Danio rerio: one gene and its partners. The protein of the gene in region 1 interacts with the protein of each later gene in a biochemical or structural test. Links are inferred from orthologs where the notes say so. Each region holds a gene or a part of one and is shown in the gene's direction. Other genes may lie near its edges.

Region 1 (3,969 bases):
TAATACTCGTTGTTGTTGTTAAAAACTAAGTTGCCTATTACTTATACATGGCATCATTAAAATACATATTATATAAAGTCTGCTAAATTTTTTAATAACGTTATGCAAATAAGATAGATAAGGAGAAAGATTTATCTAACAACTGAATCAGTAATAAGAATAGTATTTTAATCCATCGTTCACAAGAGGTTCCAGCCGACTTTAAATAATAAAAGTCCATGCAGTTGGCTGATGATAGCGCAAACAGGTGTCAGATTTACCTGCCATTGCAGTTTCTACAACATCTGTAGCGTTTTGTCCAGCTAGCAGCAAACTTCTCATTCTGTCCACTGCAGGGCGAGAGAAAGACCATGTTCCCACAGCTGCCATTTGACACAAATGTATTGAAATACATCTATTTATGTACAGGAAAAGTTCGTTTCCATCGTTTGTAAGACTTTAAAACACAGTTTTACGTCCGGGGGTTATTAAAGCACAATTTCAAAATAAAAGTCTATGCGTTACAAAGACAGTTTAAAGGGCCATACTATGCATAATGTACACAATGTGTCATTTTTAAAGTGACATAAACTGACTTTTTGACATGGCCTGACTTTCAATAAAATTTGTATTTTGATTCAATTTCATACATAATTAAGCAATAATGCAGTGATTTGAATTAATGCACAATAATGTATATTGCAATAATACGTTAAAGATTTTAGATTTATTTATTGTAAAAAAAATATAAAGAAAACAATAGGTACATTTTTAACGTTTACCCTTTTTGCACAATAAAACGACTATTTCAATGTGGTCATGTCATTGGCCCAAGTATGAACATTTTCCTGCTTGTTATCATACTATTTCATAACTGTAATGTTAGGCAATTCAATCATAAATTAACATTAAAACAGCTGTCATAACCTTATTTAGCAATATGTATTCACCAGTTTTGCATTCTCTGAAACTATAGAAATTAAAAATGTAAAACAGGAAATACATCGGGATCATTGTTCTTGTTTACATCCATCAAAATGGTATATAAAATATATATTTTTTGTATTGAAGCATATAACTGACAAGCATACAGGATTATATGTAAAATATCACAAATTTGATTTGAACATGCGAGCTAATAGTGCACCGGAAGCGCATATTAAAGACGGCGGAAGTTGTTGTGAAGTCTCATGTTTTGCGCGCTCCCTGCGCTTCTGGAACTATTCAGCTCGTAGCCAACCGGTGGATCCTGCGAATTATCGGTTTGTTTGGCTGTCCTTTGATCTAACACTGTTTCTAGACGGAGAACTGTATTACAAGTGTTAACTGCTTGGGTTTTTAACGAACATATTAAAGTTAGCTCCAAAATTAGCCTCGCTAAACACGCTGTGCTGCATTCCTGTTCTGCTCACTATCACCTCTTTAACATTGTCAACTCTGTTCTCTTGAATGGGAATTCTATTATTTAGTGTTTCTGTAGGTCCTCGTACTGTTGGTCAATTTACGTATTATACTTTCTTTATAAATCCAGAATAACGTTACTGTGTTCTTTTAATTTAACGTTCAGATATTGCATTAAATTTTCTCTTGTGCATGTCTGTTTATTTAGGTGCACTTGGGATTTTTATAATCGTGTCTGCACTGTTGTGTGTAATCGGATTTTTAATATTTGTTAATTTGTATCTTTTTTTCGTTCATTTTAGTTTACGTCTTTTGGAGCCACTGAAGTTTTATAGGGAAGCCCTGAACCACTGCTCTGTTGTTTTGCTTCATAACCCGTCAGCATGGAGCAGAACAACAGCCTACCTCCTTTCGCTCAAGGTCTGGCATCTCCACAGGTGAGGAATGGATTGTTTAGTTAACGGGATTTTCCCAAAAATGACATTTCTTCATTTACCTATACTCAAGTGCTTATAAACATTTATAAACGTCTTGCTGTGGGTGAACAGAAAACAAGATATTCTGAAGAATTCTGTGGAAACATAAAAAGATACAGGAACAAACTCCAGTAGCCATTTTTTTTACATTTCAGTAGAGATTTGTAAAAGTTGGTTGGGTTGCACTATAATGGAAAAGTCGGATATTGCGATACTTTGTTTTTCTATGCTAAATAAAGCAATACGAATACCATTTCACAAGATGAATGAGTCTATCAGTATTCAGGTGCAGAAACTGAATAACCACAGTAGAAAAAAATGCTTTTCTTACACTGTCTTGTTTCCAGTCCAAATATAAAAAAAAATTAGTAAAGTAAAAAAATTGTTTTGTTTTCACTGTTAGTAGAAATATTAAGTGATTTTCCCTAAAACAAGCTAAATAATCTGCCAGTGAGGTGTTTTTTTCCATAAATTATAAATTTCGTATAAAGACTCGGTCAGTGAGGCTAAATCTAAATATTTTTCAAATTTGATTACTAAAAGTGCAAGTAAGCCAAAAGTCCTTAAAACTATTAAAAAATAGTCCTTAAAACTATTAATTCAGTTCTTAATCCAACTATGTGCTCTGTTCCTGTTGTCAATCTGGAGACGTGCATAAAGTTCTCTGACTTTTTTACAAGATATTAAATCACACCTCTTTCCCACCGACATAGATCATTCTGATTCGGTCCCTCCATCCAACAGTTTCACAAATTTTCAGCCTGTATCTTCTTCTCAGCTACTTAATAAAATTTTTCAGATGAAACTCACCTTTTGTCCTTCAGATGTACTGCCTTGCCGTCTTTTTCAAGAGGTTTTAGATACAATCTGCCCCTCACTCTTAGCTTTAATAAACAGCTCCTTAATAAACAGGGTTTTTCCAGATGTCTTTAAACATGCTGTTGTAAAGCCTCTATTAAAGAGGCCTAATCTTGATCCCGCTGTGCCTGCCCACTACAGGCCCATATCTAAGCTCTCATTTTTCTCAAAGGTTTTAGAGAAAATTGTAGTTTCACAATTAACCTGGACATTTTTAATATTCTAGACCCTTTACAATCTGGTTTTAGAGCAAAACACAGCACTGAGTCTGCACTACTAAAAGTCACAAATGACATTTTACTCTTCATGGATTCTGGATCATCTGCGATTTTAATACTTTTAGACCTAAGCGCTGCTTTTTATACCGTAGATCACAACATATTATTGAAACGACTTGAGTGTGTTGTTGGGGTTCAGGGCCTTGCCTTGCAGTGGTTCTCCTCATATCTAAAGGGGAGATCTTTTTCTGTAAATATTGGATCCTTTACTTCACCACCTAAACCTATTCATTGTGGTGTTCCACAAGGATCTATTCTTGGCCCTCTTTTATTTTCTCTTTATATGCTTCCTTTAAGCTCAATACTCCTCAAACATAACATAAGCTATCACTGCTATGCTGATGATCTCCAACTATACTTTCCAATCAAACTAGGAAAAGATTTATCATTAGAAAATATTTTCCTATGCCTTACCGACATTAAGACCTGGATGACAAATAACTCTCTGCAACTAAACAAGAATAAAACAGAAGTGTTAATTTTAGGTCCTGCTGCTACCAACAATTCAATTAAAACTTAGCTAGGAGCCCTAAACGACAATCTGCACAATCACGTCAAGAATCTCAGAGTTATCTTTGATCCACTCTTGCAGTTTGACAAACATGTAAATGCGGTTGTGAAGAGCAGTTTGTTCCAGCTTAGATTGGTGGCAAAAGTTAAACCCTTTCTTTCTAAAAAAGATTTAGAAATCGTAACCCATGCTTTAATCTCCTCTCGGTTAGACTACTTCAACTCTTTGTACATTGGCCTACCTCAGTCAACACTCTTTCGGCTACAGTTGGTCCAAAATGCAGCCGCCAGATTAATAACAGGAACTAAGAAAAGAGATCATATCTCCCCTGTCCTCGCCTCATTGCACTGGCTACCTATAAAATACAGGGTTGCTTTTAAAATTCTTCTTTTCACTTATAAAGCTTTGCACAATTCTGCCCCCGCCTATGTCAGCGAGCTTATTAGGCCATATACAGCTTGTAGAC
Region 2 (4,066 bases), about 19 Mb from region 1:
CAAAGAGAACAGATAAATTCTGAAGAATTCATTGTTATTATTATTATTATTATTAATAATAATAATAATAATAATTATTACTATTAATAATTTATTATTATTATTATTATTATTATTATTATTATTATTATTATTATTATTATGTTTTAATTCTTTTTTAATGAAATGGCCAAATTGTGACCGAGGACAGTTGAATGTGCTGACCAGTTTTTTTTTTTGTTTTTTTTTTTTTTGCATAATAAATGACAGTAGGCTACAGTTTTTTTACTTTAAAACTTTAACAGATTGCAATTTTTTCCTAATGATAAATGATGTAATAAATTTGTATTTTAAAAATGAGTCTTGTTTAAATTTTTTATGCAATTTTTTAGGAAATATTTTAGTACATCAAAAAGTGTGGTTATGATGAGATCTGACTAGCTAATCCAGCAAAACAAAAAATCACTAAAATGCAGAATTTAAATCTCATAGTTAAATAGAAACTGAGGCGTATAACTGCAAAAAGGTCCACTTTTTGAGAAAAAAAGGACCACCATTTCACCAGGCTGGCCTACTATGATAACACCCAAAGCTAAAGATAAAAATGAAATGAACTGTATTTTATGATGTTCTGAGGAGTGAAACAGTTTTCAGGTACATCATTTGAATAATCAAATTTAATATAATGCTGCATTGTGTTTATTGTAAAGATGATTAAATTAAATTAATCGTTATTTCTTATGCATGAATGCTATTAAAATGCTCATACAGTACAAATGGTTTTGTTTTAGGACTGTTGGGCCCCATGGCTGGAACTGCTTCGGGCCCCAAATCACTAAACCCACCCCTGATTGTTTCAATATGTAAATATTTGGTCACCAATATTGACTTTAAACCTTAGAAATTATTTTGCAGGATGAACGTGATATATAATTTTAAGTGCACTTCTTAATCAAGCATCTTGAAGTTGATACTTGTCTTTTAGGATTTTCGACTGCTATTTATAGAGGATGACATTGATGCAAGTTTTATTATTAAATTGGTCGAATGCGAATGTGGAACAGCGACAAAAACAGTTTTATATTCAGCATATATGAATATTTATATATATTTTTACTGAAAAGAAGATGAATAAAACCCGTGTTTCCGGACCATGTTTTTTTCTCCTACAGTGTACTTCCTTTTGCAAAGTGCCTTGCGATTGGCCGGCCGGAGCCCATGTAACCAATCACAGCGCGCCTACCATGGAGGAAGGAATAAATGCAAGATGGCTCCTCATATAAAACCAGCCGCCTGGCTTCTCTTTTGTGATCTACAAAATTATTTCTCCCCGTTTGTTCGATTAAAATACCGTTTTCGGGGAAGTGCGGAGGGCTGAATCAATCTGTACGCTGGCGTGGAGTTACTCAAGCGTCTTCGGGCGCTGTGGGAAATATTTAATAAGCGAGCAGGCGGATTTTGAGGCAGTGCGCGAGATTTCGGGCCTGTCCGCGCACGCGTCGGTCAGCAGCAGCCGAACCTGAACCCGAACCCTCGGCCGGACACAAACCCGGACCCCCGAACAGCTCACACATGGCCGTTTCAAGGTGAGTCTATGGATAATACCTCATCTCCAGCAACCATGCCACTCCACACTTCAATTTGCTCATTCCTATCACTTAACGACATGCTATCCATCCTATCGTTAAGTAAAAGCGTCTGTCAGTTGAGCTCGGTCAACATTTTAAAACAAGGAACCATAATATTAAGTTACCTCCCAGCCAAACACTGCAGAAACAACCTACAAAATATGACACGTCAGTACATTTAACCGTGTTATTTTAGTGCAATATATCATAGTGGGTTACATTTCGGGCTGTGCGTTATGAATCCAACAGTTTGTGGTCTGTCATAATGGTTCCACTTTATCCTGGTAAATCTCCGGTTAATGTGTAAATCCACGGGTGATTAGTGGACTAACCCTGCAGTGTCATCCTTGTCCGGGCTGGGCTCTTGTCAGTGAGCTAAAGACACAGACTGAATTAAGGCAGCTCTCATTTCTCCTAATCCATCTCTTCAGTTGATGCGGTAGATTATTGTTCCGTTATGTAACGCTTCTGACAGGATGGTGTGAGGAAACCTGCTGGGATATGTGTATTTTTATCATTTATTTATTTTTAAGTAATTAAAGTTGTACACATTAAGGGATTCATTAATACTGGAAGCCTGTATCTTCATAGATCCGATCGGTTCGTCTCCTCATGGGCGGCGCCATGTTGATCACACATCGGTTATTACTACTAATAATGCCTAGTTAGTTCATAAACAAACCTAATGTAGTCTAGATCTTTTGATGTCAGTGTGTGAACAGAATCACTTGATTTTCTGGGGATGCATAGACCCTGAGTTAAAGATACAAATGAAATCAACTGTATTTTATGGTGTTTTGAGGAATAAAACAGTAGTCAGGTACATCATTTGAATAATCAAATTTAGAATAATACTGCATTGTGTTCATTGTATAGAGCAGGGTTCAACGCTAATGATTTTTTTCTACTGGCCCAACCGAGCCAGTGGTTCAATTATTTACTTGCCCTGCCAAAATTTTCACTGGCCCCTCCAAAAAAAAAGTTAGTACACTGCAAAAACCCACCAGTCAGTTTTATCAAATGAAATGAGTGTAGGTAACTCGAAATCGATTAATTCTACTCATTTGAAAAGAGTTTTGAACTCATTGTTGAAGGTGATGAGTTAATTAAATACCTCATTACTTCAACTTAAATGGAGTAAGTTTACAGTACTCGTATACATTAGTTTTTAACTCAAATGGTTTGTAGCAATCGGTTTCCTCAAGCGGTTTGAGTTGCCTTAACTTATTGGGTTTTGCAGTACTCAGCTGGTTTGAGTTCTCTTCATTTATTGGGTTTTACTGTGCTCAAATTGCTTCATTTACTCAAATTAAGTTCACAGTACTCATTTAGATTAGTTTTTGAACTTAAATGGTTTGTCGGTTTTCTCAAATAGTTTAAGTTACCTTAACTTACCCATTAGTTGCCTATTTCTTAGCTACATATTTTAAATGTGTCATCTAATGAATCTAGAAATTAAACGTAAAACATGTTAATAATTGTATAATGAGAAAAATTGTAAGCGTTATGCAAACAAAAAGAGCACTATGGAAAATGTGCTGGTATTTTATTGCAGTTCTAAATTATTTAACAAAAGGTGGCTGACTTGACAAACTGACGGCAAACTGTGCAAAACATTACTTCATTGGTCATGTTGTACTTGTGTAAATGTCTGCTTCCAAGATGTTGGAAACGGACGTTTTCTTTTAACCTCATCATTTGATGTTGCTGCAATGTTTCCGTCTCTTTGCTATAATGGGTGTTACCTGGTTAAGAAAAAAAATAACATGCTCATAACATCCAATCAGATAAGGGGAACCGAAAAGCAATATTGTGTTTACGATATCACAGAGAAGATAGTCTTAAAAGCACTGTTTATCCATTCTAAGACATTATTTTTATATTTTAAATTTGCATGCAATTGACAAATAGTCGCAGGCGAATTAAACTTTAATGGCAAGGCAGCACTGATCGGGCCAGTAACGATTCTGTCAACTGTCATGAGCTTCTCTAATGCTGGCCCGGGCCATTAGGCAGTCCTTATTGTTGAGCCCTGTAGAGAATTAAATTAAATTAAGCGTTATTAATGTTACAAACATACAATTTCTTATGCACTAATGCTATTAAAATGCCCATACAGTCATTGAGGTAAAGTTGATTTTTCTATTTGCGCATTCAGATTTTCTCCTTTGTAATATACTATAAATTCAGAGAAGCAGCCTAATCTTTGCAAACTCTAAATGGTAAAATCATATTAGCAGCCATTGACTATCAAAGTACAACATTGTTCATAGTTAAATAGCCTAAAGAGTGTTGTTTTGATGATATGTGTGATTTTAGAAGTATGGTAAAGGAGCATGTGAGCAAATGTGCAAATATAAAACCAATTTTACATTAATAATAGGGCTGGCCGATTTGGCCTTTAATAAAAATCTTGCTTAATTGAATATTTTTACTCTATTACGATTAATGAATAATTA
Region 3 (4,031 bases), on another chromosome or scaffold:
ATCTCAGATCAGTTCATCCAGACATTTTAATCTGATTTGCGAACTTGTTTGAAGAACCAAATTAGCCAGAGATCAGTTATCAAGATTAAAAGATCCAGGATCTGCCAAATCATCTTAGATCATTTAAGCGAGGTACAAAGAACAGACCCTAGGACTTTCATGGCACTACAAATACTGGGGTATGAATTACAAGTGTTCTTTATCAAAATAAGGGTGCTTTAAAAAGTCATTGAAAGTCTTTGAATCTGCAGTTAATGAAAGTGTGGGAACCCTGTTTATTATTTTATCTATGATAGGCCTTAACAGCATAACAACAAACTCAACAAAATATTTTAAATTATTATTGTTCAAAATACAAAAAAATCCCTAAAAAATTAATATTTATATTTTTCTGTGTTCATAACGCACACCACTAGCAAACATACAGCTGTCTGTAAAAACATCTGACTTTACAGATATTGCTGTATGTAAAATTGAAAATGTATGTAAATTTTTTTTTCTTTTAAAATATATTTATAAGGCCACAAAGAGTATGGGATAGCTATGTTCCTGTGGTTTTAAATTATTATTTTTATGTTTATGTTTTTTTATTCCAGAATATTATTATAATTATATAATACTTGGATTTATATGCTGCAGAATACTTTTATTGACCAATGTTCCAACAAGCAATGTAATGACACGCAATATATGTTTTCAAGGGCAAGATCGACATTCGAACAAGAATTCAGCATGTAACCTTTCCCTCTCTCCTTCCCTCCAGGCATTAGCAAGTAATCCTAAGATTGATGTGCGGGAAGGGAAATATGCCTTTAAACCCAAGTATCATCTGAAGGATAAGAAAGCTCTGCTTAGACTTCTGGACAAACACGATCAGCTTGGTCTCGGAGGAGTGTTACTGGATGATGTTGAAGAGGGGCTACCCAATGCAGCCAAGGCTATTAAAGTAATACACCATCATGCTGTCACTCATTAGTAACAAAACAAAAAAAAACATTTACTAAACCGTACATTTAAAGGGGACCTGATATGCCCCTTTTTACAAGATATAAAAGAAGTCTCTGATGTCCCTAGAGTGTATATGCAAAGTTTTGGCATCTTATAACCCATGAATAATTTTTTTAGTTCTTTGAAACTGCTCCTTTTAGCCTTTGATCCAAACAGTGCTTTTATGGTGACTGTCTCTTTAAAATCAAATGAGTATGTACTCCCAGCCCTCCTTTCAAAAGAGTGCAGAGCTACAGACAACCATCACCATTCCATCATTAGTGACTGCATCTCACTTAAAACTGTTTATGCTAATAATGGAGAGATTGTCACTAATGGGCGGGGCTTTCCCCCTCTGATGTACAAAGGAAGAATGTCAGACAGTGTTTCTGCAGACTGCTTTTATGAAGTGTGATTAAAATGAAATTAATTAATGATTTTGTACAGTTGAAATCTGGCTATATTCCCACCTTGTTTCCACACAATTTTGTTTAACTCCTTATAAAAGTGATTTTTGCGCATTAGGTCCTCTTTAAAGAGCCCCTATTATGGGTTTTTGACAATGACCTTCCATGTAGTGTGTAACACAGCTCTAAGTGAAGTGAAATATCCAGTTATGGCTTAAATCTGAAAGTGCTCCGTGTTTAAAACAATTGATGCATTTATAAAAGAGTCGATACGAGACTTATGCCCCGCCCAATTATTGCATGCGCAAACCCAGGAACATTTAATGTAAATTTGACCCTTTTTAATGTGTAGTAGAGGCTCTTTAAATTACCAAGTACACAAAAAAGGGCTCTGAGCCCAGGAAAACTATAGATTTTTTTGATACCAAAAGTCTTTGAAATATTAAGATCATGTTTCATGAAGACATTTTGTCTACTGTAAATGTAAAAGTACCCTACTGTAAATGATTAGTAATTTGCAAAACTAAGACTTGAATTTGGATCATGTTAGAGTGGTTTTGTAGTCCAGGATCATGCATGTATTGTAGTATATATTTATTTATGTATATACACAAAAGTTGGTTCTGTCAACAAGAATGGTGTGAAGTAGCCTTTTTTTTGCTTTGGCTATAATTATTAGAAATATAAATAATACAGCTAAACTGTATTGTAATTATTGAAAAAATATTGCCATCTTAAGTGACCACTTGTAGTCACGGACCACTAAAAGACACAATAATACCATGTGGAAACCTGATCCATACCCTTTTATTTATTTGTTCAGGTAATTTTCTTTTTTTTTCAGCATTAGAAAACAACATAAATGTCATTCACTTTGACAGTAGTTTATATAATCATTTCAAAAAGAATGATTTCATGACATTAAATTAGGATCACATTGCAGCTCTAAAAAGCTTATTAATTGTGAATTTAATTAATTGTGATGTATATACACCTTGTTTAAAATGAAAATAACAAGGCTTTGATTGCAAAAAATACAGTTATTTATTTTAATTTGTTCATTTTTTTTAGAAACTCTCATAAATGTCATTCAGTGTAACATGTTTATATACTAAAAAAACCTTTTCATCAAGAATAATTCCTGCACATATTAAATTAGGATCTGATTGCAGCCACATTAGTAGAAATGCTAATCAATTGACATTTTAGATATTTTTATATATCATAAATGTTTGAGATGGAAACACAAGGCTTTAATAGCATGAAATACTCTAATTTGTTTTAATTGGTTTTGTTCAGGCGCTCGGGGATCAGATTATATTTGTGACTAGACCAGATAAGAAGAAGATTCTATTCTACAATGACAAGCACTGTCAGTTTGTCGTGGATGAAGGTATGTGACTCTCATCACAATTCAAAGCTGGTTCATTTTTGTCCATTACTGTTTGTTGAAAGAAGAGTTCCTGCGATGTTCTGTTGGGATATCAGTGTCTTTTTATTTTCCAGAGTTTCAGAAGCTGTGGCGGAGTGTTCCTGTTGATTCCATAGATGAGGAGAAGATCGAAGAGTACCTGAAGAAACAGGGCATCTCATCAATGCAGGAGACTGGACCAAAGAAAATGGTACGATTTGTCTCTCAAACACATAGAAATCAACATTTACACACAGAAAATCAAACACACTCTTCAGACTGGCTATTACGTGCATGTTTGTGTGAGGTTGATGTGATTTGTGATTGGCTGTCACAGACACCAATTCAGAAGAGGAAGAAACCTGGAACCCAGAGAAAGAGACGCTATAAGACTCACAATGACCATCTGAATGGAGTGCTGGAGGACTACTTCGATGGAGTTCCCTCAAAGAAGTGACACACACAGCTGTAAAAAGCTCAGAGTGATGAGACTGATATCTGTGATGTTTGTATATCTGTTCTGATAACGTCTTATTGTCAACCATAAAGATATGCAGACATACACATACACAACTTTAGAACTGTTCTGAGTTGGCACAAATGTGAACAGACTGTAAATATTTCCTTTCCAACATTACGTTTTACTTTTTGCTAGTGCTTTAAAAATGGACTTTTGAGCTCTTCTTTTTTTAGGTTTAAAGATTAAACAAGAGCAATCAAACCACATCTGTTGTTTCTTTTTTGAGTTTATTAATGATGTATTTAAAAAAAATACCTTTATAAGGCCCTATCATACACCCGGTGCAATACACTAAGGGTGCTTTCACACTAGCACTTTTGGTCTGCACCCGGTTTTGTTTGACATCAGAGTATGGTACGTTTAGCTAGTGTGAACGTTGTCTTCTAAATTCAAGTGGGCACAACAAACCGTACCCAAGTCCACCTGAAGGAGGTGGTCTGGGGTACCAAATAAGGGAACTGAACTTCCAACTTTACAACAAACTTTAGTTTTCATAATGTTTATTAGTGTGTGGATGTCTGTGTTAGAGATCTGCATGGGACTAAATTTTGTATCCTGCTTCCACCAGGTTTTAGTCAGAACCCCACCGCTCCCACTTATATTCAGCATTTGTTGTCCTGCAGCCCGACCCACCCCGTTTAACAACACATATAATAGATAAGTATAAACACACACACACAGACAGCATCACACTCTCTCTCATTCA
Region 4 (3,500 bases), on another chromosome or scaffold:
TCACACAGTCAGCACAATATATTTGACCCTCTACAGTTTGAAAATTGAGTGTTATAGTGCAGCTGACTTGTGTTGAAGGTATTCGTAAAGATCGCGGCGGGCGTTCTGTCAGGCGTGAGAGAAGAAGAAGCAGTAATGAAGATCGAGACAAGAGCACCAGTGATCAGTGCAGCCGTGCTGGCGTGAGGACGACTGGCCCACAGGACAAGAGGAAGAAGCGCAGTGGTGGGGTGGTCAGCACTTTATGCATGTCGCCTGACCAGGTGCTGCTGCTGCTGCTGGGGGCTGAGCCACCCGCTGTCTGCTCACGACAGAAACACAGCCGGCCCTACACCGAGATCACCATGATGTCCCTGCTCACCAACATGGCTGACAAAGAACTCGTCCACATGATCGCCTGGGCCAAGAAAGTGCCAGGTAAAGTCCTTTCAGAGATCAATTAAAGTTAAAGGGATAGTTCACCCAAAACTGGAAATTTACTCACTATTTATTCATCCAAGGGTGTTTCCAGTTTCATTCTTCAGTTGAAGACAAAAAAGATATTTTAACCATCAACTTCCATAGTAGGAAAAAACATTCACTATGGCATTCAATGGTTGGAGGTTTAAAACATTTTTCAAAATATCTTCTTTTGTGTTCAACAGATGAAATAAACTCATAAAGGTTTGAAACAAGTAAAGAGTGAGTAAATGATGACGGAATTATCATTTTTAGGTGAACCATCCTTTTAATTGTAAGAACAGCATCAAAGGAAGGGTCTTTCAATATAAAATAATTCACGATTTTGCTTGTTTTTGTGCTGCTGTTTAAGCATAAACAAAAACCTTCAAAAGAAAGACAGAGCGACATTTTATTGGACAGAATTCGATTTTTAAGGCCAACAACAAATGGATGGTAGTGACTACAGCTATCTTTTTGCTAGGTTTGTGACATCACCAACCGTAAAATTTACATTACGCCCCCCCTAGACATCATCTTTCCTTTAATGTGCACTTAATGCTTAATGTGACGAATTAGAACACGCTGTGTCAATTGACCAATCAGAGCACATTATATATTTCTGATGGGGGGACAGGCCAAAAGATCAGTTTTAGGAGAACCGAAACAGCAGAATAAGAGTCAAATATATTAAATATTATCTTTGTTTGATTGTTTGTTTATTTTAATTGGAACAGTTTACCCAGTAAACATTGTCAACTCTTCAGGGATAGACGATTGATCAGCCCTTTAACTGCAACCACATCAAGTAACAGTCTTTTCAATCTGACGAAGGCACATCTAGGAAAGTGTCCTGGTGACAGCCTTGCCAGTTTATGTAACCCTGGCAGCAGGTTTGACAGCACAGGTGGCAGAGATTCAAATGACAAGGTCACAGACGCAAAGATAAAGAACATGACTGTTATTACAGTGATCTGTGCTGCAGCCTCCAGCTGAGCTCTGAACACAGATAAAGAGCTGCTGAGACTTTAAGGGAGTCATTATATTTCATGTTCAGTAGTCCTCATTACCCCTTTAACACACCTCAGAATAGTAAACAATTTGTCTCATCAGATTCAGTGGATGAAGTCCAATTCCATATTTTAGAATTATTTTCTGGTAGGTAAATATTTCTATTACTATTATTAGCACTATATATAAAATATAATACTGTTTTCTCGACACTAAACTGATTAGTTGTGTTTTCTTTGTATTTATGGATTACATTGATTATTGACATCTGGGGGAAAAAGTAAAGTCAACAGCACACTTAGAAACATGTTTTCTGAGGGAAATGCTGACATGTTTAATACTCTTTTATCCACTGTATATCTGTATAGATATTTTCAACTTCTTTTTGTTTCTAAAAATAATTTTGAATTCATTGGAGCACTGTAAAGCTTCTATATATTGTTGTGAGAAAACATGTCAAGATTCTCTGATAAATAAAAATAATTCTCTGAGGACAAAATATTTGTAAGATTAAAAAAAAATTGGATGCATTGTAAAAGAAAGTCTGACTAACCCTAGAGTTGTGAACATTCCTGTCTCACCAGGATTCCAGGATCTGTCTCTGCATGACCAGGTTCAGTTGTTGGAGAGCTCTTGGCTGGAGGTGTTGATGATTGGCCTCATATGGAGGTCCATTCATTCCCCTGGAAAACTCATCTTTGCTCAAGATCTCATCCTGGATAGGTACTGGATAATCCGAACCTCTACATGTAGGCCACTGTTAACATAGTAACAACAACAAAAGCAGTCAATGTAGAATATGTATTCCCACATTTCTGAAAACATAATTACCTAGTCCAGGAGTGTCAAACTCAATTCCTGGAGGGCTGCAGCCCTGCACAGTTCAGTTCCACCCCTGCTTCAACACACTTAAGCCACGGTCACACTGGACTTTTCTCCCCATAGACTTCCATTCATACACACATGAAGCGATCAGACCAAAAACACAAGCTCCTTCGCAGTTCACTTCGTTGAAAAATTCAAGCTTAGTGAACTCTGACCTGCGAAATTGCATCATGTGATTGCGTAAGACCAATCAAAAACCAAAACATGACCTCTCTAGACAGAAATTTAAAACATTGACCAATTGCTCGCGTTTTAATGTCTAACCATCTTGTTTAATACCGTCCCTTTTTGCAGCGATGCACGACAGAATTTCGCACACACAAACTAAGGTGACCGCTTGGAGGTTTCAAACAAGCCTAAAGAACTTAATTAGATTGATCAGGTGTGTTTAATTAGGGTTCGAACTAAACTGTGCAACCCTCCAGGAACTTAGACTATAGTAAAAATAAAACACAAATCCAATATAATGACACACTTCCAATCTCAGCATCATTTTTATTTATCTTTTTATAAATAAGTGTGAAAACAAAGGCTTTGAAAACACATTAAGTTGTTTTGATTAAACTGAGCGGTTTGACTGTTAAAAATAATAGAAAGGCACAAACATGTGACAACTGAAACCTGAGGGACGCCAATTATACTTCAACGAAACCCTGAGCTTTATTTTATTATCAGGCAGTCTTACTTCATACTGATGCTGTCAGTCTGATTGTGAGATTTTGAGATGTCATATTGACCCGATGCATTCCCTCTTATTTTTTGCCCCAATTTATTAAAGAACATTAAGTTGCATGCGGTTTTCTCCCCCGCAGAAGGCTGCGCATTACAAAACGAGATTGAAATATTGTGAAGCGAAAACTAGATTGTTAAAAAGGATGTGAACTGTTTACCCAAGAGCCTAGTGCTCCTCTTCAGAAGACCATGTCACAAAGTAGCATGTAATTAAAAAGGACCCAATTGGGAACAGGATCTTTAAAGGGTTTCCGAAAAACATCGCCATGATCACTGACTAAGGGAATATGAATTTAATCAAAACCAGCATCCGTATAAAGTAGCACTGTGAGCTTCAATGTTGAACAGAGCATCCCAGAGGATGAAGGAGAAAGATAAAACTGTTTGGTGAGAGAGACTGCTAAGAAAGAACAGATAGGATATAGAAGTCTTAT
Region 5 (4,236 bases), on another chromosome or scaffold:
ATTCATTCATTCATTTTGTTTTCAGCTTAGTGGCTTTATTAATCTGGGGTTGCCACAATGGAATGAACCGCCAGCGCATGCTCTTCCAGCCGCAACCCATCACTGTAAAACATCCATACACACTCAATCACACACATAAAATACGGACAATTTAGCTTACCCAATTCACCTGTACTAGAGGTTTATGGACTTGTGGGGTAAACCGGAGTGACCGGAGGAAACCCATGCCAACACGAGGAGAACATGCAAACTCCACACAGAAATGCTAACTGACCCAGCCGAGGCTCAAACCAGCAACCTTCTTGTTGTGAGGCGATTGTGCTACCCACTGCGCCACCGTGCTGCCCTTTGCTTTAATACTTTATATTTTAATACAATCTCTACACTATAAATTATTTGTTTTCTTAAAATAAATTCACAATTTAAAACAATAAATCAACTATTTAATTTTTAAAACTAAATTTTTTGTTACCTGAATAAACTGCTCTGATTAGGGGCGGGGGACAATTTTGCATGCAATAATGACGTTAAAATTTGTTAGACCTTCACCAACATATGATAGTAAACTATGTTACATAATTTGTAGGTATAATTTATGCTTCCATACATTTATCGGGGGCTCCCAGATTCTCTGGGGGATTAAGTGACTGTTTACCTTATTTATTGGTTAAATCCCGCCCCTGCCTTTGGCCCCTAGACACCTCACACTCCAGTTCACATATTGTCATCATATATTATATAATTTAGTATTTTTATTATGCAGTACCACTACTAAACTACGCCAGAGAACCATAATACGGGATACTTTTGACAGTTTTTAAGTGGCGAAAATACATTTCAATGACATGATTCCTAAAGTTAATGGCACTGAGCCTATCCTGTTACAACCAACATAAACTGAATTTAAACACTGGCAGACTCACGGCAGCATCTTTTCCTTGTTCTCTTTTTCTGTTTACTGGCATCACTCTCTGGACACACGTGTAGTCTTCACTGTGAACAACAAGGAAGCAGCACAGCGGAAGCGGCTTCCTTTCGTCTATGACAAAAGCTTTTACAATTAAACCTTACAAGTCTAAGCAAAATACGTTCATTCAAACATATAAACATGTGTACTTTACATGCCGAGTGTCGGTACTTGTACCGTAGGATTGTTCCAAAGACAATTAAAGGGATTTTTATTGTACACAGCATCACATTACTTTTAACAAGTAGTTGTTATTTACTTTTTTAGTTTGATATAAAAATAAGATTTTATAAATACTGACTAAATGTATTATTTTAAAATGGTTAATGCACAACATATTTTGGTAAAGCGTTTTGAATTGTATATAGACTTTTCAGCAACATCCTGGACGTCATTTCCGCTAAACGTTAGCGTGATGCTGAACTAGGAAACTTGCTCTGATCTAAACAGGAGGAAAATTAAAGGTTTGAACTGTATTTTATCTCATTCAGTTTTCATGTTGTTTATTTTGCTAAACGTGTGAATGTAACGTTAACAGCATTTCTCAAAATACCGAATCATCGCGTTAATCTTACATTAAACTCTCCAGATACATGAAACTGGTGAGTAGTCATCTGTACTCTCACATTGCTTTGTATTATTTTCGTTGAGCGTATTTATTTCATACTTTTTGCGTGTAACTGAAGTACAAATTTAAGACAACATAAACTTATCTTCGTTTCTAAAGTAATTAACCCTTAGACATCGTTCTTAAATGAGCTCCTTTTATTTACGTGTTTAAACTCCATGTTAACCTGAATGACTGCTGTTAACACGGTAAAAAAAATTCTGATTGATATGTTTTCCATAATGGTTTCTGCATGGTGCATCTTAGACCTTTAACTAATCTTTCTGACATTTCTAACCTTACAAAGATTTCAGTGACAAATTGAACATTGCTGTTTTGACTTCAGCTGATATTCCTTTAAATGGCACCTATTTTACCCCTTAATCAAGATTTAAGATAAGTCTTTTGTGTCTCCAGAATGGGTCTGTAAAGTTTCAGCTCAAAACACCTCTCAGATTATTTATTATACCTTTAGAAGTTTGGAATTTTCTGCTTTGAACACAATGTAGCTGTTTTTGTGGCCTGCGCCCTTAATGCCAATTCACCCTGCCCACCGTTCCCTCGTGCCTGTCGGAGTGTGCCTCAATCTCTGCCTCGGCTGCGACAGATAAACAGCACAGTGACAAAAAGATCTCCCGTAAAGTTTGTGAGAAATACTTCAGTAAGAAATCTCCCAATGATTATTTGATGTATTTGTTGTGGAGTTAATTCAAGCCTTTCTATGATGAGTCGCACACAATGTTGTTAGAAAGTTTACACAGACACACACACACACAGGGATGGGACGATAAACAGTTGTGAATAGTAAAAGTTTTAAAACCGTAATGTTTTCAGTTATACAGTTTCTAAGGTATGTGTATGTTTTTTTGTTTTTTTTTCACGATTACTTTAGTTAGTTTTTTTAGGGCAACAGAATCTCCAGCAAAAAAGGAACCTCTACACTAAAAGCTACTGGTCTAATATATATATATATATATATATATATATATATATATATATATATATATATATATATATATAAAATAAATCTATTGTGTTCAATAGGGGCAAAAGTTGTTGTGTCCCAGACATTTAAAAATAATTTATTTTGGAGGAATAATTACAATATCGTGAAACAGTGATATTTTTTCCAAGGTTATAAAATCAGAATCTTATTCCGGCCCATGCCTACACACACAGTGCGCGCATTTAACTTTGCACTGTTTTTGCACGTAAATGTGACAGGAGGATACACATTAATATCCCCTGCTTTATGGACATCCATTATGTTAATGTACAAAATAAACCTGATTTAACATCCACAAACGGATTGAAAGGTCTTCTTTTTTTAATTGTACTGACCTGGGGCTGTGGTTATAAAGACGGTAAAATCGCTTGCGTGTAGTCTTCTTGTTGATATCTTGTTGATATGATTTTACTCGTTACTGCGATGACATGTTAATATGAGGCTGTCAATCAGTTCAGTGGGCAGGAAAACTGCGCTCCTACATCACAGTGCAGTGGGTCTTAAAATGGGATGGATTTGGATGCTATTTCAACATCAGGAAATAGAAAAAGAGACCTATTGTCTTTATATCACTCCAATATGACTGTGGACACACTTTACTTACAGTTGTGTCCAAACAGCTCACAAAAGATGATTTTTATGATAGGTGCCCTTTAAGGTAAAATTATCTAGTTATTTAAAAAAAAAGATTGTAGAAATACTATTGAAAATGACCTAGGGCTGGGTGATATGGCAAAAATGCAATCTTAATAATTATTTTCCATATTGAATGATAACGATATATATATTTCAATAGAAGTTGCTAATGCTTTCAAATTTAAAAGAGAGGTTTACCCCCAACAATGACTGAAGCCACAAAAATTAAAAGCTTTATTAAACCATTAACAGGCCTAACATATGCCAAAGCAATGGCAAAATATCTCTAATAACCACACACTTTTACATTCCCATTGTTTACATTTCTGCTGTGTGATTGGCTCTTAGATCAATTAAAGTAAAAACGTCCAGAGCTCATCATTGTTATTGACAAATTTTATTGCGATTTGATATGATATTGTTTATCAGCCCAGCCCTAGAATGACTCTTGAAAGCATCAGTTATTAACAAACAACCGAATTATGATGTTGTTTATTAAATGAGGGATTTAAGGCGCTATATTACAGTTTGACAGTTAAAAGTATTCCTATATATATATATATATATATATATATATATATATATATATATATATATATACACACACACACAAAATGATTTTATAAGTTAAGTTAAATAAGTTTCATTGTTGTTTTCATTGTCATATTTTTGATGTAGGTGAGTGCTGTAAAGGTGTCAGAAAGTTTAACCTGGTCCCATAAAATCAATGTGCTGTGTTTTTAATATAAAATAAACACCCCAGGGGTTGCAAAAATAAATCAATCCATCAATCAAATCAAAAGGTTGATGGCTTTTTATTTTCATGTTGGTTTTGTAAATGTAAGTATTAACTACTAATCTTTTCTTCTGTATGTCATGGATAAAATATGGTAAGCAGGTGATTTTTCAGAAATTTTCTGTTTTTTTACTTTTCACAGACCTTCCTCCAAGAAACCTAAAGTTCAACTCTTCACTGTCTTGCATAAAAGACAAACTGACCCTTTATGACAGCACATTCTT
Region 6 (3,500 bases), on another chromosome or scaffold:
TGGATGTCTCATATATGAAATTACCACTCATGTGACTTTGTTAAATCAAATATAATTGTTTTAAAAACATCAACGACATTTGAGCATTTCTAAAGTACTCTAAAATACTTACTTAATGCTTACACAAAAAAATGTAGAAACAGTTTCAGTGTTTTGGTAAAAATTGCTCCAATTAATAATTGAGCTGATCATGAATAATCATAAAAGAACAGCAAATTGTCAAAATAGAGTGATTGATTTCTAATGTTTCATGTGACACTGGAGTAATGATGCTGGAAATTCAGTTTTGCATCACAGACAGGAATAAAGTGCATTTATAAATAACATTTAAATGTTTTTGTTTTTAATATCTCACAATAGTTGTTACATAATATATATAACACAACATTGTTATAATTTGATACAACCTTCATGGAAGTATTCACATTGTTTATAAATATGCATGTACTTGCTAATGGATATTTAGGAGTCAGAAATGTCAGAAATATGAACAAATCTATCATATTCTGATATACGGTATTTAGGGTTTCTGCAGGGCCTTAAAATGCCTCTCAAAATCCAAATTTTAGGCCTTAACAGTCTTGAATTTAGTGAAATATTTTGTTGTAGGTCTTAAATCTTTTAAACGGGTCTTAATTTTCCTTTGTTCATGTATACCTACCCAGTCTGGCCAAAACCCATACAATCACCAACAATCCATCTCAATAAAACTATAAACTTTGTATATAAAAAGGTCATTTTTAACTCTATCTTAACGATTTAAATATTTTCCTTACAATAACATTTGTTTAAAGGTTCTTCATCTATTTACTGCCGAGGACACCGACAGATTGTTGTCCATAGATTTAGTGTATTTTTTAATTTAAAGAAGGTTTATGTTGGGGAAAAATACAAGAGATTGTTTGTTTTTACACAATATTTAAAATATTTAGCTTAGAAAAAAAATAATACATTTGAATAGTTCATTATTGTGTTATTAAATGTACTGAATTATAGTTTTTTTTTTTTTTGAGAGGTCAAATAAAAAAACTTTTCCATCTGGGCCATTTAAAAATTTCCTTAGACTTTAGTGCTTTGAGTCTTAAAAAGTCTTACATTTAACTCTGTGAAACCAGCAGAAACCCTGAGTACTAAAAAGATGAAATCATACTATCAAGATCCATTCATAATATATTGTAGTTGTGTTAAAAGAAGTGATTGCATTATATCTTTCATTTTAGCCTAAACTGTATAGATCAGTGATGGAGGATGTCATTGCTGAAGTCCGAGAGCTGTTTCTGGACGAGGGAGTGGATGAACAAGTCCTGATGGAGCTCAAAACGGTAAAATGATTTAACTTTAGATGACGTTATCCTGCCTCTCAGAGAGATGTTTGATTTTCATATGGGTCTCTGAGCAGTTGTGGGAGAGTAAGCTGATGCAGTCCAAGGCGGTGGATGGTTTTCACACAGAGGAGCAGCAGGTTCTGCATGCTCAACAGCAGCAGGCTCAGGCTCAGCAGACACAGCAACAAACCCAACCGCAGCAAGTCCTCCTGCCTCCTGCACAGACCAGTGAGGCAGAAACACGACTTCAATAACAATGATCTTGATGGTGACGAATGAGTTATTAATGCAGATTTTACTCTATTCTCAGCTCCTCAGCAGCAGGTCATTGTTCAGGATGCTAAGATTATGCAGCACATGAGTGCGACGGGGATGGTAAGTCACGTTTTAATGCTTAGCTTGTTTATTGTTTGTGTTTTTTTTTACATTGAAGTCCTCCAGAGGTGGATTTTTAATCTGGAATCTGTTTTTAAAAGGGTAATGAATTGAGAATGGGCCCTTTTTCACATTTCCAGGTTTCTCAGTAGTGGAAATGCTCATAGTTTGGTGAACTCAGAGCGCAGTGAATGGAGAGTACAATATACCATTTTATTACAATACTGTTTGCTGAAATAACAAAAGAAAACCGCTGCGATAGTGTTAAGACCTTCAGAAAAAGGAAAAAAATAGTTTGAGACTGATAACAACAGCCAGAAGAGAGTACAACCCCGCCCCCATACACGCCTCGCACAGTTGGTAATTAGGGCTGTACGATTTAATAGAAATCATATCAAAATGGTGATTTGGACAAACATAATTTATTCCAATTAAATCCAATAACGCAGCCCGCCTCTTAAACTATTTCTCTAAGAGTTCAGAGTTCATATTCAAGTGCTTCAATGAGGAAAAAGGAGCTTCAGTTGGAAAAAGCTACCTCACTGTTCAATGAAGCATTGTTTGAGCAACTCCATATAATCTCACTAGCAGCCACAATTACTCACTATTCAGAAATCTGCAACTTTCATTAAAAAAATGGATTTGGCCCTTTAGTATCAGCTTTAATGGCAGCAGGAGAGCAGATGCGGAGGAGGGACGAGCCTTCCTGGAAAACTCGAACTGGAGACTACAAATTAGATTACTCTGCAGATTCCAGCAAGGATATTGTTCTCTCTCTCTCCACACCTCTCTCTCTTTCTCTGATCATTAATGTATGTGTGTGTCCTCAATGGATTCAATTCTGGTTTCAATCTCTGGTTTCTCTAGAGTGCAGCGGCCACGGCAGCAACTCTGGCTTTACCCACAGGTGTAGCACCATTTCAGCAACTCATCACCCCTCAGGGTAAAACATTTACACATTTACCAGAAAAAAAATAAAAAATTACCTTCATCTTACTTTAATTAAACCACATCGCCTAGCCCTTTTAACAGAACATTACAGGATGGCACAAGTTTCATTCCATATGTTTCATAATATAGAATGCTGTCTTCATATAGAATGCTGTCTATAGCTTTTGGTGCCAATCAGTACTGAAATTTAAAAAACAAATTTAGCTTATTGTAGTTTTTAAAGAGCTTATAAGTAGTGTTAAAAACATACGTGTGTATAAAACTTGGGTTGTTTGCTTGTTTAAGACAATATGCAAAATATGTGACTAAGAAAAAATTAATACATTTTTTTTGATGGGTAAAAATCTTTTGCAATAGACCAGCTGATCCATAAGTCTAAAATATCACCCATAATGGTCATATAAAGAATTAAAAGTCTTTTGGTGAAACCTGTTAAAACTCTGAGTTTGAATGTTAGCGGGAAATTGACGTCTTAATTTCACTACCAGTTGCTACTGAAATTCCAGTATCATGATAATATATGATTTAAGCTCAGCAATTACACTGGTAGTGCAATGTGTAAGTAACATGCCTGACTAAGGTTTTAGTCATGTTTGTTTCTTCAACTTGATGTTTAGGTCAAAGATATAGATGCTGAAGCCACAAAAAAAATATGAAAAGATGATTATTCTGCTTTTAACTACAATTCCAGCTTTCAAGCAAACATGACGAAAAATGGCTAACCATTTACTAACCCTTTACATATTCTAATCCAGTTTGAGTTATTTTTTTCTGTTGAACACACACAATTATATATAGAATGTTGGAAACCTGTAATCACTGACTTCCATAGTATTTTTGTTTTCCATA

What was found.
Region 2: the proteins of tbp (region 1) and btaf1 form a complex in vitro, tested with the Homo sapiens proteins (2 studies listed by BioGRID). The link is inferred for Danio rerio from reciprocal best matches to the Homo sapiens genes TBP and BTAF1.
Region 3: the proteins of tbp (region 1) and gtf2e2 form a complex in vitro, tested with the Homo sapiens proteins (2 studies listed by BioGRID). The link is inferred for Danio rerio from reciprocal best matches to the Homo sapiens genes TBP and GTF2E2.
Region 4: the proteins of tbp (region 1) and esr1 form a complex in vitro, tested with the Homo sapiens proteins (2 studies listed by BioGRID). The link is inferred for Danio rerio from reciprocal best matches to the Homo sapiens genes TBP and ESR1.
Region 5: the proteins of tbp (region 1) and gtf2e1 form a complex in vitro, tested with the Homo sapiens proteins (3 studies listed by BioGRID). The link is inferred for Danio rerio from reciprocal best matches to the Homo sapiens genes TBP and GTF2E1.
Region 6: the proteins of tbp (region 1) and gtf2a1 form a complex in vitro, tested with the Homo sapiens proteins (7 studies listed by BioGRID and IntAct, with this or other methods). The link is inferred for Danio rerio from reciprocal best matches to the Homo sapiens genes TBP and GTF2A1.

The regions. Positions count from the first base shown.
Region 1 is NC_133188.1:27,610,667-27,614,635, reverse strand, and holds the start of tbp (TATA-box-binding protein), read left to right. Parts: upstream 1-1,169; 5' UTR 1,170-1,241; intron 1,242-1,682; 5' UTR 1,683-1,763; coding exon 1,764-1,817; intron 1,818-2,666; exon of another isoform or gene 2,667-2,751; intron 2,752-3,969. Other genes in the region: zgc:153169 (uncharacterized protein), read right to left, coding at 261-321. UniProt on the Homo sapiens protein: The TFIID basal transcription factor complex plays a major role in the initiation of RNA polymerase II (Pol II)-dependent transcription.
Region 2 is NC_133188.1:46,115,295-46,119,360, reverse strand, and holds the start of btaf1 (TATA-binding protein-associated factor 172), read left to right. Parts: upstream 1-1,266; 5' UTR 1,267-1,551; coding exon 1,552-1,565; intron 1,566-4,066. UniProt on the Homo sapiens protein: Regulates transcription in association with TATA binding protein (TBP). Removes TBP from the TATA box in an ATP-dependent manner.
Region 3 is NC_133176.1:24,451,986-24,456,016, forward strand, and holds the end of gtf2e2 (transcription initiation factor IIE subunit beta), read left to right. Parts: intron 1-763; coding exon 764-946; intron 947-2,693; coding exon 2,694-2,787; intron 2,788-2,900; coding exon 2,901-3,016; intron 3,017-3,142; coding exon 3,143-3,262; 3' UTR 3,263-3,531; downstream 3,532-4,031. UniProt on the Homo sapiens protein: Recruits TFIIH to the initiation complex and stimulates the RNA polymerase II C-terminal domain kinase and DNA-dependent ATPase activities of TFIIH. Both TFIIH and TFIIE are required for promoter clearance by RNA polymerase.
Region 4 is NC_133195.1:29,079,946-29,083,445, reverse strand, and holds part of esr1 (estrogen receptor), read left to right. Parts: intron 1-78; coding exon 79-417; intron 418-2,033; coding exon 2,034-2,172; intron 2,173-3,500.
Region 5 is NC_133184.1:29,390,238-29,394,473, reverse strand, and holds the start of gtf2e1 (general transcription factor IIE subunit 1), read left to right. Parts: upstream 1-1,436; 5' UTR 1,437-1,569; intron 1,570-4,154; 5' UTR 4,155-4,236.
Region 6 is NC_133195.1:17,669,755-17,673,254, reverse strand, and holds part of gtf2a1 (transcription initiation factor IIA subunit 1), read left to right. Parts: intron 1-1,220; coding exon 1,221-1,322; intron 1,323-1,399; coding exon 1,400-1,553; intron 1,554-1,635; coding exon 1,636-1,700; intron 1,701-2,567; coding exon 2,568-2,643; intron 2,644-3,500. UniProt on the Homo sapiens protein: TFIIA is a component of the transcription machinery of RNA polymerase II and plays an important role in transcriptional activation. TFIIA in a complex with TBP mediates transcriptional activity.